Linked DNA regions of Tribolium castaneum. The main gene of each other region encodes a partner of the protein of the gene in region 2 in a complex. Links are inferred from orthologs where the notes say so. Each region holds a gene or a part of one and is shown on either strand. Other genes may lie near its edges.

Evidence for each region.
Region 1: WDR79 (region 2) and Gar1 share a complex: the UniProt entries of both Homo sapiens proteins name them as parts of the telomerase holoenzyme complex. The link is inferred for Tribolium castaneum from reciprocal best matches to the Homo sapiens genes WRAP53 and GAR1.

Annotation. Positions count from the first base shown.
Region 1 is NC_087394.1:30,497,324-30,505,603, reverse strand, and holds Gar1 (H/ACA ribonucleoprotein complex subunit 1), read right to left. Parts: upstream 3,479-8,280; coding exon 3,107-3,478; exon of another isoform or gene 3,057-3,106; coding exon 2,781-3,056; 3' UTR 2,576-2,780; downstream 1-2,575. Other genes in the region: Larp7 (la-related protein 7), read left to right, coding at 875-1,049, 1,111-1,948, 2,003-2,225, 2,283-2,561; glutathione S-transferase, read left to right, coding at 5,608-5,668, 5,717-5,857, 5,919-6,086, 6,546-6,688, 6,735-6,902; NFX1-type zinc finger-containing protein 1, read right to left, coding at 6,989-8,280. UniProt on the Homo sapiens protein: Required for ribosome biogenesis and telomere maintenance. Part of the H/ACA small nucleolar ribonucleoprotein (H/ACA snoRNP) complex, which catalyzes pseudouridylation of rRNA.
Region 2 is NC_087399.1:12,226,226-12,234,919, forward strand, and holds the end of WDR79 (telomerase Cajal body protein 1 homolog), read right to left. Parts: intron 5,386-8,694; coding exon 5,108-5,385; intron 5,058-5,107; coding exon 4,885-5,057; intron 4,796-4,884; coding exon 4,631-4,795; intron 4,582-4,630; coding exon of another isoform or gene 4,570-4,581; exon of another isoform or gene 4,321-4,569; coding exon 4,099-4,320; 3' UTR 4,014-4,098; downstream 1-4,013. Other genes in the region: uncharacterized protein LOC657834, read left to right, coding at 1,310-1,433. UniProt on the Homo sapiens protein: RNA chaperone that plays a key role in telomere maintenance and RNA localization to Cajal bodies. Specifically recognizes and binds the Cajal body box (CAB box) present in both small Cajal body RNAs (scaRNAs) and telomerase RNA template component (TERC).

The DNA.
Region 1 (8,280 bases), on a different chromosome or scaffold from region 2:
CTATAACTTTTTATTTTGAATTTGCCTCATTAATTGTGGCCAAAAGCCAAAAGATAAAAACATCTCCAAAAGTACATAGTTAAATAATAAATAAGCACGAAAAAACATCGGCAAAGATACTATGAGTTAGTTATGATAAATGTTTTTTTTAAATGACTGTTGTAATTTAATCTGATGAATAATTTTACTTATGGTTTCATAAAATTTAAACCTATTGTAAGATTGCTCAAGTTGGTGGCTTATATGTTGCTAAGGCGATAACATCAGTACTTATACGTGCTGATGTTTAAATTTCACAATCCATAAGGCAAACAATATAAGTATGTCAGTGATTTAAGTAACTTAATGTAATAAACAACTTACTTTTATCATTTTATCGGTGACTTTATAGTTCGTTTCTAAGAAAGATGAAATCAAGGTGAGTATTCAGTTTCACATAATGGATTATTTGAAACGATTTGAAGTACTATTCAAATTCATGGTAAAACTTAATTAAATTAGTTAATAAAGTATAAAAGTTTTTTTTTCATAATCTAAACTAAATACATAGAGTTATTCACTTAAGACTTCACGCCTGATTAGGTAAAAAGTGCAGCACACAATGCACTAGGAGTAGCATGGGTGTAATTGATACAACTAAACATAATTATTTTTTGAATAAGAGCTATCTCCTATGAATAAGAGTAAGCGGCGTATAATTTAAAAAGTAAATGATTTTTTTTGCATTCTAAAAACATTTTTTTTAATTAGGCAACCAAATTTACCTCCAACAAATATTTTTTTTCTATGGTTGGCGGCAGTTTCTTTTTCAATTTCATTTCCAAACGCTAAGTTAGGTTATAATTTTCATTTTTACTTCTGCAAAGTATTGAAAATGGAAAATGAAACGAAAGAAAATGCAAATGCACACGACGATTCAATACTTAAAAAAGGTCGCCATCGAAAAAAGCAACTCTACAATTCCATTTTGCAGCAAATGGAATTTTATTTTAGCGACTCTAACCTCACCAAAGATAGATTTCTATCTCAATTAATAAAGGAGAATCCTTGTAAGTGACTATATGATTATTTTATGAGTAGTTGTAGGTAAATACCAAGCACTTTTTTCAGTTGTCGACCTGAACGTATTTTTGAAATTTAACAAAATTACTAAACTCACAACCAGCATAGATGATATCCAAAAAGCTGTACAAAAGTCGCAGTTAATCGAATTATCAGAAGATCGTAGTAGAATTCGTCGTACAAAACCGGTTAAAGAAAAGGCTAACGTTGATGATTGTACGATTTATGTAGAACGCCTAAAATCCGATGCAACTCATGAATGGTTGAACTCTGTTTTTTCTGAATTTGGAAATGTGGTCTACGTTTCTATACCAAAATACAAAAACAATAGTGCCATAAAGGGTTTTGCTTTTGTCGAATTCGAGAAAGAAAAGGAAGCGCAAAATGCTTTAAATTACTTTGAAAGCATTGGCTGCAAAATGCCGTCAAATACAGAACCAGAAACTCTTTGTAGTATTAAAACATTTGAAGAAAGTAATGAACAATCTGAGGCTTCCTCTAAAAATTCTACACTGAAGCCAAAATCTGGAGAAGACGAAAAGGCAACAAAAAAGCGAAAACTTGAAGACAATAGTGAGAATAGCGAAAAACTAGATAGTGAACACTGTGAGAGTAAAGCGGAGGAAAAAATAAGAAAACGAAAACTTGAAGAAAGTGAATCCGGCGAAAGTGAAGAAAAAGGGAAAAAAATGAAAGTCGATGATAGTAAGCACACTGAAGAAAATGATGAACACAGTGAAAGTGACGAAAAAGAAAAAAATTCAAAACATGATACTGGAGACGTTTCTGAGTCGGACGATGCCGAAAATAAGAAAAAGAAGAAATTGAAAAAAGAACACAAAAAGAAAAATTACATAAAAGAATTGGGCCTCCAAGTGTTATCAAAGTAAGTGAAGCAGCTAGAATTATCTTTAATCATTGATAAATAATTGTTTTTTAGAAAAGAGTGGAAAAAGATGCGAAATCGGTATCTAGATTTACAAAAGAAGAAAATGAAAGAGTTTAAAAAACACCTTCTAAAAGCCAAGTTTAATCAACCAAATTATGAACAAAAGTCGAAAACTCCCACTGCTAAGACTGAACTCAACAAAGAGGATTTTACCAAGGGACTTATTGTAAAAATAAAGCTAACCGAAGCTACCCTGGATATAAAGAAACTTAAGGTAAATTTTCTAAACTAAATATCTTGGCCAATTTATTTGCGATAAATCGTTTTTCAGAATGAAATTAAAACTTCTTCAGCTGATATATTGTACGTAGATATTCCAAACCCTGGCAGTGAGAACATTTATGTAAGATTTAACACCACGGAGGGCGCTAAAAATTTTTGCTCCCAAGAATCTTTTGGCAAAAAAGAGGTATTAACAGGACAGGAAGAATCTTCATATTGGGAAAAAATTAAAACAGATCGTGAGGATAAACTAAACAAAGCAAAAAAGAAACAACGTGGTAGAGACAAACTGTTAAAGAAAGCAAAACATACAAAATTTGATGATTAAGGTTTTGTTTTCAGTTTAAATTTTTTTTAAATATTCTTTATTTATTAACTTTGTCAAACAGTGGCACCATCCATTTCGTGTTGTTTGCTGACATATTCACACAAAAATTTGAAATAACCTGTAGTTCTTATTTTTCATAGATCTATTTTCGTAATAAAAATTTCATACACTTAATGGAACAATTGCCAACCACAAAAAACATTGGTCACAATTTCAAGTCTACCACCTCTTGCCGCCGCCGCCCCCTCCTCGGCCGCCGCCAAATCCACCCCCACGACCACCTCTAAAACCGCCGCCGCCCCCACGACCCCCACGTCCACCGAAATTGCCGCCTCCTCTTCCTCCAAACCCGCCGCGATTGCCGCCCCCTCTGCCACCACCGCGGCCTCCGCCACCCCCACGACCTCCCCCTCGACCGCCTCGTTTCTGGACTGAGCCTGGGGGCTTCGGTAGGAATCTTTGAAGTGGTAACAACTTCGCAGGATCAATAAACAACTGCAAAACATTATTTTAGATGTGTGAATGGTAAGTGAATTTTTTTATACCTTTTGATTCTTTTTAAAACTGCTAGCTTTTATGTCGTCTCCGAGACGTATCGAAACGTAATAATCTCTGAGATTTCCAAAAATTTCATCAATTTTTCCGATTTGTTCCTTATTTTCGAGGTAAATCGGCGCATTGAAAAATGGAACGTCTTCTATTTCTACTTTAGCAACTAAATCATCTTGTACGGTGTAATCGAAGTAGCCCAAAGGAATCACTCTCTCAGGAGGGCCTTGATCATAGTTTCGCCCGCCGCCCCCGCGACCACCAAAACTATTTCTCCCGCCGCCTCCACCAAAATTTCGAGCGCCGCCGCCCCCACGACCACGACCTCCAAAGCCGCCACCACCGCCGCCTCGGCCACGAAAAGACATTTTGTTTCACTCCTCAAATAATTAGAAACGTAAAAGAGCGTCCCTTTGTAAACACGTGGTTTACACTAAATTTTCAGTGCGGCAACATAACCTCTCCTGCAAACGTAACCTCCAACTGTAAACACTCCTAAACTTTGGGCCCTCTAGGAGTTTTCTGAGTTACCATCAAAACAGAAAACTGTAAAGTTAGAAGATGAAGCTATAACTTCAAACCACATGTGTATAATTAGTTGCATACTTTGAGGGAAAAAAACATTTTATTTTTAAATTAACCTTGAACAAAATATTGCTACGCCCCACACTTCCCATTGGTTTCCTTTCTTGTTGAAATAACCATTTAAAGCTGATTCTAGCAACAGTGCATAATTATTAATTATTTGACTTCGTTCTGGGAAAGGTTCCATTGCGAATATAGCCAGTGATTAACATTTTCCAACAATTATTATCATCTGGTAAGTACTACACATTCTTTTTTTAACCATTAATTCCCTCAATTAAATTAAATAGGTACTAGTTACTTTGTTAGGCCACATAATGATGAATTCTTAGTCACTTCACATTTATGTTGGGGTGTCCATTTTCGTAATTTTTTTTTTACTGGTTTTTGATTTTTGGTTAAGTGGTGTACCTATATTTTTTTTTATTTACAAGGGGTTAACAGGTTTCGTTCAGTATTAACCGGAAATTCTAAAATTTTACGCTTCGACAGGTGTGTGAACCGGCTTATCAGAGTATTGTTTAGTGCAGTAAGTATGTAAAAAAATGATATAAATTATATCTAATAGGTACTATATCTAAATAAAAACCAGTAATTATACCCAACAAAAACTTGCAACACAAGTTGAATAATGGAATTTCAAATTTAGAAGAATCCTCTATATATACCACCTTGTACAAAATATTTTTTTTAGGTAGGGTGGGAGGATGTTGGGAGCTACGATATTATTTCGTTGTATCAAGGTCTTTCTGCTGTTTTTATAAGCTATAAGAACATCTGTGAAATAAATTAAAATTTAAAACACAAGTAAATGTACATCAGGGTTTTCCTGCGTTAAAATATAAAACTTTTCCACTTAAATAAAAACGCTAATTTTTTCAGCGATATTATAGTAACTTTTTAAATGCGTTAAAATCACTTATAAAATATTTTTTATTTGGGTTACTCCTAAATTATTATTATTTGATACTACATACTTATAATCTAACAAAAAAATATCCGTACGTAATATTCTACTACCTACTGTAGTAACACCAAGTTGAATAAATTGTCCTATACTATTAAAAAATATAATGAAAACTTCCATAAATTTGTGAAAACTATTAGGTCTTATAAGTATAATATCTATAATACTTAAGCACTGTTTGTTTTGTTACAAATCTGCTAGTCATTTTTCATGTTCGTTTCCTTGAGAAAACATTACAAAATTTCATTATCTAAAAAATGTTTTGATCAAAAATTCTGCAGTGTAATGTACCTTTTTTCAATTGAGTCACCACTGCAAACCAGTGATGTTTTATTGATTGCATTATCTTATAAATACCTACATTATTAAACATCCGCTACTACATATTTGTATTATTAGTGATAACTTAATAAAATACAAATAGCTTTTCTTGGAGTCAAAAAATATCACACAATATTCTCTATCTCACATACTCGCATGTTATCGCTTACGAGGAAGAAAGTAAAGATTACTGCTTTTTATATCAACTTTAAAAATACTACAAGTGATCTACATGTTATCATTCCCCCTAGCAACGCATAGATTAATATTACTCTTATTTGTATTCTTATCTTTTTATTTTGTAACTACATTTGAACTTAAAAAACTATAAAACTTTGGTATCAGCTTGTACTCTAGGGCCGTGTAATACTTATAGGACAAAATCTTTATCATAAAATTGACTGAATCTGAAACTGATATCTCCAGCATTTACCAGTCATGAAAGTATGAAAAATGTTATAATAAGAGTAATGTGTTAGGATTTTTCCGCTCTCGGTGTAACAACACTCATTAAATAGCTGCCACAAAATCGATTTTTGTTATGGTAACCGTTTAATTGAATTAACACCATAAAACAAAAACAGAATTAACTTGTCACGTAAGTGTCACATTAACGCATTGAAAATGATGGAAGGAGCTTGCATAAAGCGCACCCGCAAGTCAATTAACATATTCAATACAACAGGTGTTTCCACCATTTTCAGTATTTAACAGTTATGTGTTTAATTTCCAGAAGAAATGGCTCCTGCATATAAATTAACCTACTTCCCAGTGGAGGCCCTCGCCGAACCCATCAGATTCCTCCTCAACTACGGCGGAATCGAATTTGAGGACCACCGCTTCGACCGCGAAAACTGGCCCCAACTCAAACCCAGTGCGTAATCTTTCCCAAGCCTTAATTAATTAATTGATAACAATACTTTTAATACTCTCAGACATGCCCTTTGGCCAAGTCCCCATTTTGGAATACAACGGGAAGGTGGCACACCAAAGTGTTGCCATGGCTAGATTTTTCGCCAAAAAGGTCAAACTAGTCGGCAATGACGATTGGGAAGATCTGGAAATCGACGCCATCGTGGACACCATCAGCGATTTGCGCCAAAGTGAGCAATTATATTTACAAATAGCTAGGACGTGTTCAAGTTAATTGATACGCTTTCGTTTTTATGACTTTTTAACCAAAATAATGGCAAAGTATCGAACAAAACACATGTTGAATTCGTTTCATATCGGTCGCTTGGTGTGCATTTATTTATTTATTGTAATAAATTCACTGCAAAATGATTTTGCTTCAAATGTTGCTTGACTCAAGTGGTGACGATCGGTTTCAAAAATAAAATTGAACCGGAAATCCCTCAAAATTTAAATATAAAGACTACAGCGACAGTTCGCTTTAACATTTTACATTATTTGTTAAAAAAATTCGAGAATGCAGAAAAACTTCTCACGGAAATCTGGAGGTAGAAGAAACTTTTTTTACAACGCATATTTGGGAAGCAAAACATTTCGATGCCGTCTTAATATTTTATCAGGACTTTCTAAAATTTTCAACTGTTTAACAGAAATCGCCCTTTACCATTACGAGCAAAACGAAGCTGTTAAGGAATCTAGGAAAGAGCCCCTATTTAAGGAGACCATCCCTTATTACTTGCAACGTCTGGATGCCATTGTCAAGGCTAACAATGGACATCTTGCCGTTGGAAAGGTATAAATTTGTCTCGAGTTACAGAATTCCACTTTTATTATTTCAGCTAACATGGGCCGATTTATTCTTTGTTGCCCTGTTGAAATATCTGTGTTTTATGTGCGGTAGCGACATAATCGCCGACTATCCGAACCTTGTTGCTTTGAAAAAAAGCGTTTTGGAAATACCAGCAATCAAGAACTGGGTAGAGAAGCGTCCGAAGTCTGACATGTAACGCGAATAAGCACCATTAATAAGACAACTACTTGTAATAATAAATTTAATAAATCAATAAAGTATAATCGTGTTTAATTAACTGGATCAATCATCGAAATCTAACAAAAAATTGCCCATATTGTTTGCAGTTTCCGACCAAGCGGGAAACTGGGCTCCATCCATTTCAGAAGCCAACGCATTATCGGCGCGCAGTGTGTGACTACCTCCCCCTATTTTGCACGCACATTCCGGGCATTTTGACTCCACCATTGCGCCCCCACAGTCAGCTATGCAGTAAGGGTGGCCATTGGGGCACTTGAACCAATGCCCTTGCCTGAAACCCATGGCTTTAACAATTTCCCTTTTTTCCTGTTCTGAAATTCCTATTCCCGACGCGACCAATCGACTCAACTCTTGCAATAATTCCTTGACCGTTTGTTCATCCTGGTCATAAAACTTGCCGAAACCGAAGAGAAAGCCTTCAATTTGTTCGGTAACGCGCCTAACTGTGGAAGAATTTGAATATCGTTGGAGGAAGTTTGGCGAACTTTCGATTTCTTCAAGTTCGGCGATTCGTGACAAACGGTTCAATTCGTACGGGATATCGTCTATTTCTTGATCCGTTACGTAGTTGTCCTCACGTTCCAAAATCTTGAGTATGAATTTGACCTGAGAGGAGCAGCGATTTTTTGAAAGAGCCGTGGGGCAGTTTATGCCAATGTCAACGATGTGTTCGATGATTTGGAGTTTGGATTCAATTGCATTCAACTCAAATTTGTTGATACGTTGGCGCTTGCCCATTAGAGAAATTCGCAGACGGGTTTCCATCGCGCCCAAAATATCTTTAAAGAAGTTGGAACATTTCACATCTTGTGCATTCGTCCTAACTTTTAGTAGCAGTCTCGCCAGTTCTTGCCTCTTCATGTTCAACTCATTCTCAGTCCCGTGCAGATTTTTCTTAACTTTGGCCACATCGGCCTTCGCTTTCTTCACATAATCACTGAATCGGGCCGTTGTTTTGATCGCCGTTTTGCACCGCGGACACTCCTTGAACTTGATCACTTCCCCGTCGTCTTGCCCCAGCCACGTTTCCAGTCCCGTATTTTCGAAAATGTGGCCGCAGTCCTCCAGGAGCACAAACCGGGCATCGTCTTCAGCCTCGAACCCGAAAAACACTTCGGTCACCTCGTCTTCGTCACAAATGCGGCATTTTTGAGGGCAAGGATCGCCGCAGAACCCGATACATTGGTGGCCACATGCCAGTAATTTGCTGCAAGGCTCTTGACAAGGGGGCACGTCGCAGATTTCCCCGCAGTACTTGGAGCACCTTCGGTGCTTGCACCTGCGGGGGCAGCTCTCCTTGCAAGGGACGCAGATATCGCCGCAGCGCTTCCCAC
Region 2 (8,694 bases):
GTTTTTGTCATAATAAATATCAAATCTTCACTTTCTTGTGTTCGCTGTTAAGCTTTTTCGTATTTTTATTGAGTATTTCGTTTATTAAGTTGATCAATGTTTTGTTCCTTTCTGAGTCAGTTATCATTTGCTTCAGTCTCTCTGTGTATATGTCTTTCTTCATGTCTCTGTTTATTTTGCATTCTCTGTATTATTAACTTTTTTTGGCGTCTTAATGTTTTTTTATGTAGTTTTGTTTTTGTTTCATTCTTTACTTTTATAGAGTGTTTTATTTCATCTCTTCTCTATTTCTCCCATCGCACAGTTTTGCTAAGTTTTTTTGGCTCCTTCTCCAGTTTCAAATTGTTTTATTGTGGTTTTTCTGATGTTTCTGTTTTTTGCAATTTCTGCATAATTTAATTTTTCCGCATTTTAGTTTTTATTTACTTTCTTTTATCTACATTTTATGTATTATCCGATCATTTTATTTTTTATACTTTGCATTTATAATACGTTTATTAACGTCTATCAGTAGGAGTCGTTTATGGCCCATTAAAGTACAGAGTACTTTAATGAATTTAGGGGTATTTAGTATTCAAGAGTTTACTACCATTACCAATTGACACAAAATTACCTAAACGACAAAAAAATTTCATTAAAATAAGCAAAAAAGGGGCGCAAAGTATAAAAACAGCATAACATACTCCTTTTATAAGGGTTTGCTTTACCAGTTTTAAATTATTTTTATGTTAAATGATGTTTATGTCCTTTTTCATTAATTTGTACTCTTATCTGTATTCTGTTTTTTCTGTCTTTTGTTTCTTCATTTTATCTTTGACGTTACCTAGTCAATGTTTTTAATAATACCTCTCTCTTCTACTTCCCCTCTCTCTATCCCCATTTTCTCTTTTAACTAGTTTTCTTTTTCTGTTATTCTTAATGGGTTGTTTTCGCATTTTACTTTTTGATATTTTTTTTAATTTTTCTAATTATGACATATGTCCTTAATATTTTTTTATGTTTTTAATCTAAAAGTTTTTTGCTTTTCGCCTTTTGTCTTTGTGTTTTGTTTTGTATATCAAATATATGTATATTTTCGGATTCTTTTCTCCAACTTTAACAAAAAAGTGGTCAGGTACAGCATTAAATTTTCACTAATAAGAGATAAAGGAAATATTTTCGAAAAATATGGGACGAAATTTTCTAATTTTTAATACGATATTTTTTTTCTCATGTTTGTCGTGAATTTGGAGTCCAGACGCACGAAGTGGGTCTCTGTCGTAGTAGGCATATTTTTTCTGTAGAACTAATAAATAATGGTTTTTCGTAGTGAGAAGGCGGATATAGCACCGCTTCTTGACGTCGACGACATGGTGGCCTGCCGTAAACCGGATTGGAAATGTGTCTTCACCTACGTACAGTCCATCTACAGACGTTTCAAGGACGAAGATTGAAATTTCGACAAAAATGTTCCTTGTATTAGTTTTAGGCTCCTACTTCTTCAATCAGTTCCTTGCGTCTACATTTTACCACAAATTGTTGTTTGTAAATTCGTTTTTTATTGCTTTAATTAATTAACGTGTATGTTATTGTTCTGTGATCAAGTTAATGTATTATGGCATTTTCTTATAGGTGATACTGTATGTAATTAATTTATTGTTTGACGATCTGCCCAGCGGTTTTTTATAACAATATTTTTTCTACTTTTTATGCAGATTTAACGATTGTATTAAACGCTTATTTATTAACTTACATTTAAGGATGATTTTATCAAGGGTTGTTGCTTTTGCCATGAGGTATGTAACTAATAAGAGTTAATACAAGTAATTTTTTTATATTGATAACAGTTTAGAAAGAGTCGTTGGTTTATACTATATTATGGAAACTATTAATATCAGTGCCTGCATGAGTAAAAGACAATAATCTCAATTTGTTGCCTAAGTTAAGCTATGTGCCTTGTAAAGTCTTTATATATTTTATAAACAGATTTGTACTTGGACTAAACTAATAAACATATATTAGCAGATCTTCGTTTTGTTCACCCGTTGTACAATTTGTCTATAAATGAATATGATCGTAGTATTAACAATTTGCCGCTTCTTTCCAGAAAAAAAAAACAAAACAAAAAACAATGTTAGTATATGAGAAATTTAGTTTACTGGTTGCCTGATGAGATAAAAACTGGTAATTTTAAGAAATTTCATAGAAATATGATGATGAAATGCGGCAATTTCAAATTCCCGAACCACCTGAAATCCTACACTTTTTATAAACATTCCGTACATTTCTGTTTTTAATAAAAATACAAAATTTTGAGGAGTAATTCCAAAGGTCACAAATTCTTAAGTTAAAAAAGAAAAAAGTTTCTATAGTAACGTTATCTACAAAAATATAACCCAAAATCCGTCCTGTTTTATATGACCAAAGCAAGGACGTTAACCTCCTTGGACCGAAGGAACAGAGAATGGAAGACAAAAACGATGAGAGAATACATAAAGACATTAGTAAATAAAGAAGAAGGAAGGATGACAGGAGAATGAAAAAAGAAAAAGAGAACAGTGATACGCAAACCAAACACAGGAAAAAAAGAAGATGTAAAATAACGTAGAATAGAAAGGAGAAAACCAAACTTAAAAATCTGGTATCTATTTTCACTGCAGTGTCTTCGAGTGCATAATTATTACTTAATTATATCCTGATTTTCTATCGGTGGACACTTCAACACAAAGCACTTTGCCCCTTCATACATGTAAATCTGGTTTTAATTAAAACTTGTGGGAACGACTTTGGTTTTTCACACTCCTCTTCTTATCACTTGATTACTATTTAATTAATCAAACATATTTAAAACAACTAAAATCAATAATTTTTTAAAAAGGATGAAAAATGCCACTCGTATTGTCACCGTACGCAGGTAATTGTTTTTTTACCATGTTTGCTAAGTGTTATCACATGGCTCAGAGGTTGTCTTTGATTTTCTATGTATTTTAAAATGACAATTATAGCGTTTGCATTGTAGCCCTTTGCTATATTTATTCTACTTATTATGTTTGGCTCAATGGACCAATTTGTACCATTTCAAGTAAATATAAAAATTAAGATTTTTACGTAACACATCTGTAAACATTTAGAAATACATATAAATTTATTTGGATTTTTTTGGCGTATAAATAAAAATTGCAATGAAAATTATAAACAACGTAGCGTCCATTGGACATTGGACACATACATATGCAGATGAAGGTTAAACAATTTGCGTTAGTGTGACTTCCCGTTTTGGGGATGAACTGGCCGATCAGACCGCCAGATCTGACGAGCCAAACTTTTTCCTTTGGACTTTTTGAAATCTCGCGTTTACCATAACAATCCACAACCTTGCAAGTATTGAAAGGTAACATTGAAAAAGAAATCAACAATTTGCAGTCAGATATTTAGCGAGAAACAGTTCAAATGCTGTAACATGAGCTCAAATGTGCTCGAACTCTGGAGGTGGTCATATAACCGATATCATTTTTTCAACTTAACGTCATCAGTTTTACAACTTTTTATAATCTTTCCGAGAAAACAGAACCCACTTATTTTTATTTTTAACAAAATGGTAGCCAATTTACATTGTGACAATACTTTAGCCCCACCCTATATCATGGATGTTTTTATTCAAATAATTTGATTCGACAAATTTTGTACAAATAAAAACATCCATACCTACAACCACTTCGGCCAAGTTCGAATATTCTTTGTAATGAATTCGGAATGCAACTTTAATATACAGTACCCACACATCTATTCCATTATCTTAACCAAGTTGGTTTCAAGAGTCTTCTGTATCACTCTAAGTTCGCCACCAAAAAATTCATTCACTTTGGATTTATACTTTTGCTGGAAGCAAAATTTTTTTTTTTTTTTATTTGATAGCCTCGCAGAGTTGGAAATCCTAGATGTCACTTTTCAACCAAGGAATAAAATAACGTATTTCCCGACCCCAAATAGTTAGGAATCGTCATATTGTTTAAGGGTTGATGATAAAATAAAACTTAGTGTGAAAATACTTTTTATTTAATGCACAATATTATCATCTAGAATGTGATGTGGCACCCCACTAACGTAAATGCAAAAAACCTAAGAGTTAGACTTAGCAGCCGCTTTCATGATCGAAGCTAGCAAATCAGGATCTGGTTGTTGTTGGCCCACCCACCACATACACAGCGCATTTTCATAAACCATTGCAGTTCTTGTATGATGAAGAGGGTCTAGAGGATGGTGCTGTCCTGTAGCGGTTGCAAGAATCGGTCGATAAGGATGTAAACTTACGCCGTTGCAACTGTCACTATGCAGAGGCATCTGAAAGCGTTGATCCCCAATTAATTATAACCTCTTACAAAGTCTTCGTTGTTACCAAAAGTTGAATTTGTCACTGTTCCTAAGGACCTCACTTTATTTATTTTACATAAAATTGAAAGAAAACAAACAAAATAAAGAGTGAAACAAAATGAGACAAAGTATAGAGTCCTGGGAACCTGTAAGTATTGGTGTAACAACAAATAAAGACAAAATGATTTTTTTTAAATTATGATTCAAATAGAAACGTGACTAAATTAGATACTGAAAACATGAAATAATTACATAAGAGGTAATTCCAAAGGGTACTCACCTGCATGTGTACGCTTGGATAGGTACTATCGTGAACATTCCAAACTTGCACCTTACCATCCGTGCCCCCTGAGACGAGCCAGTTGCCACACATGGACAGGTCAATACTGATTTTTTGGTTGGTATTTGCTTCGCGTGTCAAACAGAACATTGGCCGACCTGGCACCTTGAAAATCAGCCATGTTAGAAACGAAATTGATTTTTTTCGAATGTGTTTTCCTTTTTGTAATTAGAATGTTGGGTTAACAATCTTACTCGTAGATCCCAGCAGATGATTTCTTTATCCTTTCGCGCGCCGCTGTACAGCCGGAAGCCGTCCAGTGAGAAAGCCATTGATGTAATGCCCCCTCTGTGGCCTTGCAACTTGCACAGGTGACGGAATGTACCGTCGCTTTGAGCTACCAATTCGATGGTGTTTTTCCAGGTACCTAATTAAGTTACTACGTTATTTTGATTTATAAGTTTTGTTGGAAACAACCTATTGCTACAACGCCGGGCTGCGCTTGACTAGCCACCAGACAGGAAGCAGGATGCGTCGTTGGATACTCGACAAACTCCCGTCCCGGTCGACCGGTACTAAAAATTTTAACATTCTTCTTGTAACCACAAAATACATTCTGACCATCAGCTGAAAAAGTTACGCTTATTGCAGCTTCCAGTTCATCGACATTGTTGTACCCTCTGTATGAACACCGCAAATTTCCTGTGAAAGCGTCCCACAAATGGATTGGGCCTTCATGACCACTTGATAACCAACTGGAACAAAAGTTAGAATTATGAGCAAACTGTTTTGACGTAAAGTTTTATCATTTGTGCGTGTTTTTATAACGAAACTACGACTGCAGCCAAACACTATTCTCAACGACCTCAGCAAAAAATATAATTATCTCCTGTGGGAAATATATTTTCTGACGAAGCCGGCGAAAACATCATGTGTATAACACTGAAGGAAAGCCTCTTTTCTCTTCTAGAGAGGAATACATATCTTTCCTTCGTTTTGTTAGTACACAAATAGCTATTTACTTGCAACTACCATAATAAGTGTTTCATTAGAAGATAACGAAAATCAAACGGTAAGTAATCTGAGGATTTCGAACAGATCCGAAGAATCTATTTGGTTTGGTCCAGCTTGTCGTATTCAACAATATTCGAGGATTCTGAATCTGTTTTTTGTCTATGGGCGTTAGTTTTAAAGATATCAGTCCAAGTTTGCAAATAAGGTTGCCAAATGTTCAGTTCTCACCAAGACAGTTCAGTAATATAAATTGCTGTTCTTGTCGGATTACAAAAAGTCGGATTCTTTCGGTAATTTTTGGAAATGCTGCATTATGTTCTTTTTTTGTTAAAATATTTATTTTTCTACAATCCATTATCCACAATAAACATTTGCGCTTCGAGTTCGAGTTAAAGCGGCAAAATAAAACGGTACAAATTAAATGCACAGTATTTTATTTAAACGACATATATTTTTGATCAGTAAAAATAATAAATGCACAGTACAAATAATAACTGCACAGTAAAAAATAATAAATGCACAGTAAATAATAACATTTCAAAACTAGAGAGTGTAGAATTCCACATTTCGAGTTTTACGTTTTCGAGCTTAATCGTTCGAGGGGTATGTTTCCTTTTAGTTCGCTGGGGCAAAGCCCCAGCCTGCAAGCTAGCTACTGAGCGTTTATTATTTAAACTGTGCAAACTGAAACTATATACTGTACATATACGATTTTTTTACTGAGCAAATTTTAATAAAATACTGTGCATGGTTTACTTGTCATTTAAATCTTTTACTGTGCAAAAATGATTTAAATACTGATCATTATTATTTTTACTGGACCAAAGAATGCGATCAACTGGTCGTTTGGATCCCTTTTGGATCTTTTACCAAGAGAATTTCGTCAGCCCAGAGGTACGAAAACCGTTGCTGCAGAAGAAGCAATTTTTAGAAGAATTTCTGAGGAGTTCATGAACCGAATTCATGCCGCTAATGCTACGATCACCCCAGGAACGCTATTACAAACGGTGCATGCCAAAACTTTGAGCATTTATTATAATTTTTAGTGCATTGTTTATTCGTACTTGAAATTGTTTAAAATATCATTACAATAAATAAAGTTGTTCTCCGCTCTGTTGCATTCAGCGACATAAATAAAAATTTTAATAATGAGCAAAATAGTTCGACTTAGAGTTCCTTTATTGGGAAATTTATTTATTGTAAATATAGGAACTCTAGAAATTAATAGAGGAAATTAATGGTGCTATTCTCTAACTTCTGTTACTATGCAATTGCTCTATTACTGTAAAAATTACAGCTGTTATTTAAATTCGTATTCCGTAAACTCTGTTACCCTCTGTTAGTAACATTTCTACCGCAACATTCTCTGTTAAATAACAGCGACAAAAATCTTTCCATAAACTAACAGTGACAGTGACAGATCGTGAATTTTTACGATGTTTCAACAAATTAACAAAAAATTGCATTAAAAATGTGATAAGTGGATAACACTAGAAGCTTAGAATCACGCAAACAATTCGACCTTTGGTTTTTGAGGTACAGGAAACGAATAAAGGGGATAACACTGGTCTTAGAAAAAAATCAACTAGTATAATTATCCATAATGTTGCAAAGGTAATCTTTGGCAACCCTAAGGGGCAAAGAACACAACTTAAAATTCGTCAGGAACCAAAATTTGTATAAACAAAAAAATTAACACTGTGTACTCTTCATTTTGGAAACATTATTCGGTGAAATTAAAACAGAATTTTTTTAATTTGTATTATATATTTCAAATTAAATTTTTTGACTTTCAATAGCTATTTCGTTTCTTCCAAATTCTGTTTCTCCCTTTTATTTATTTTGCGTTTTGTATAGCACAAAATAAAATAATTCGATTTCAATTTGATTACCTAATAACTAATCAGACACGAGATCCCACAGAAATTATCTCAAAACAAAAAATGTGATTTTTTTTTCAATAAACAAGGATATCATTTGCCTTGATCTGCACTCGTCTTCTGCATTCACTTTTTTTTAACATTGTAGTGAAACTTTTTGCGATACCAAATTCGAAATGATAATTTTATGAAAATTTCTTGACATTTTCGAATAAAATATTTGAATCAAGTAGTAAGCCATACGTCAAAATCGACTTCCAATATCTCTAAAATTACATTTTCGAACAAATGGGAACTCGGTGACCCTTGAATCTTTTGCAAAAAAATAAGTATTCTAGCTTTATCCAGAAGGAGGATATAATAATGTAAACACAAAATTTGACCACTTTTAAGTTTTTAAAAAATTTTTATAGAAACGTCTTTTTCATAATGAAGGCAATTTTAAACAATAAATATAACTTAGGATTCGAAATCAGGAGAAAATTTTGCATAAGAATAGTTTAAAAAAACCTATGTCTTCCAATCTAAACAAACAAATAAATTATTAATTATTGCGAGCTACTGATGGACCTTTTTCTGGCCAGTTGACGTAGAGTGTGGCGGCAATTGTGAACAGTTACTATTTAAAACATGGGGTGTTATACTAAAAAATGAAAATTTTTACATGGATAGCCAATAACAAAATAGGCGACCCAGATTTTTTTATTTTAACCAAAGCTCCACCGTTTTGGAGAAAAATAATTGAAAAGGTGAAAATTCCTGGCCTGACGTCAGCAATGTTGCTGTTTGACAGAACTAGAGATAGAAAACTTGCCAACAAAGATAGCTTGAAAGATGTGCTTCAGGAGCAGTCTGCAGTCATTTTACCAAAACACAAACTTCTGCAAAATATTAGCACACAACACAGTCGCAGCGTTAATTGTATGCAGGAAAAACTGACGAATCATTAGTCGTGACATTGCTTACGTCACAGCGCAAATTTTCTATTATTACTAAAAAAGTACCGATTTAAAATAACTCAGACCGATTGTACTAGGACATCATTTTGTGTCTACTTTCAGAATCTACAATTTCCAAAAACTTTTACTTTTGAGTATAACACTCCATTCTCTCCCTTAAAGACCATTAAATTAAATTAGCCAGATAAAAATTAGTACCAGCTTTAAATAA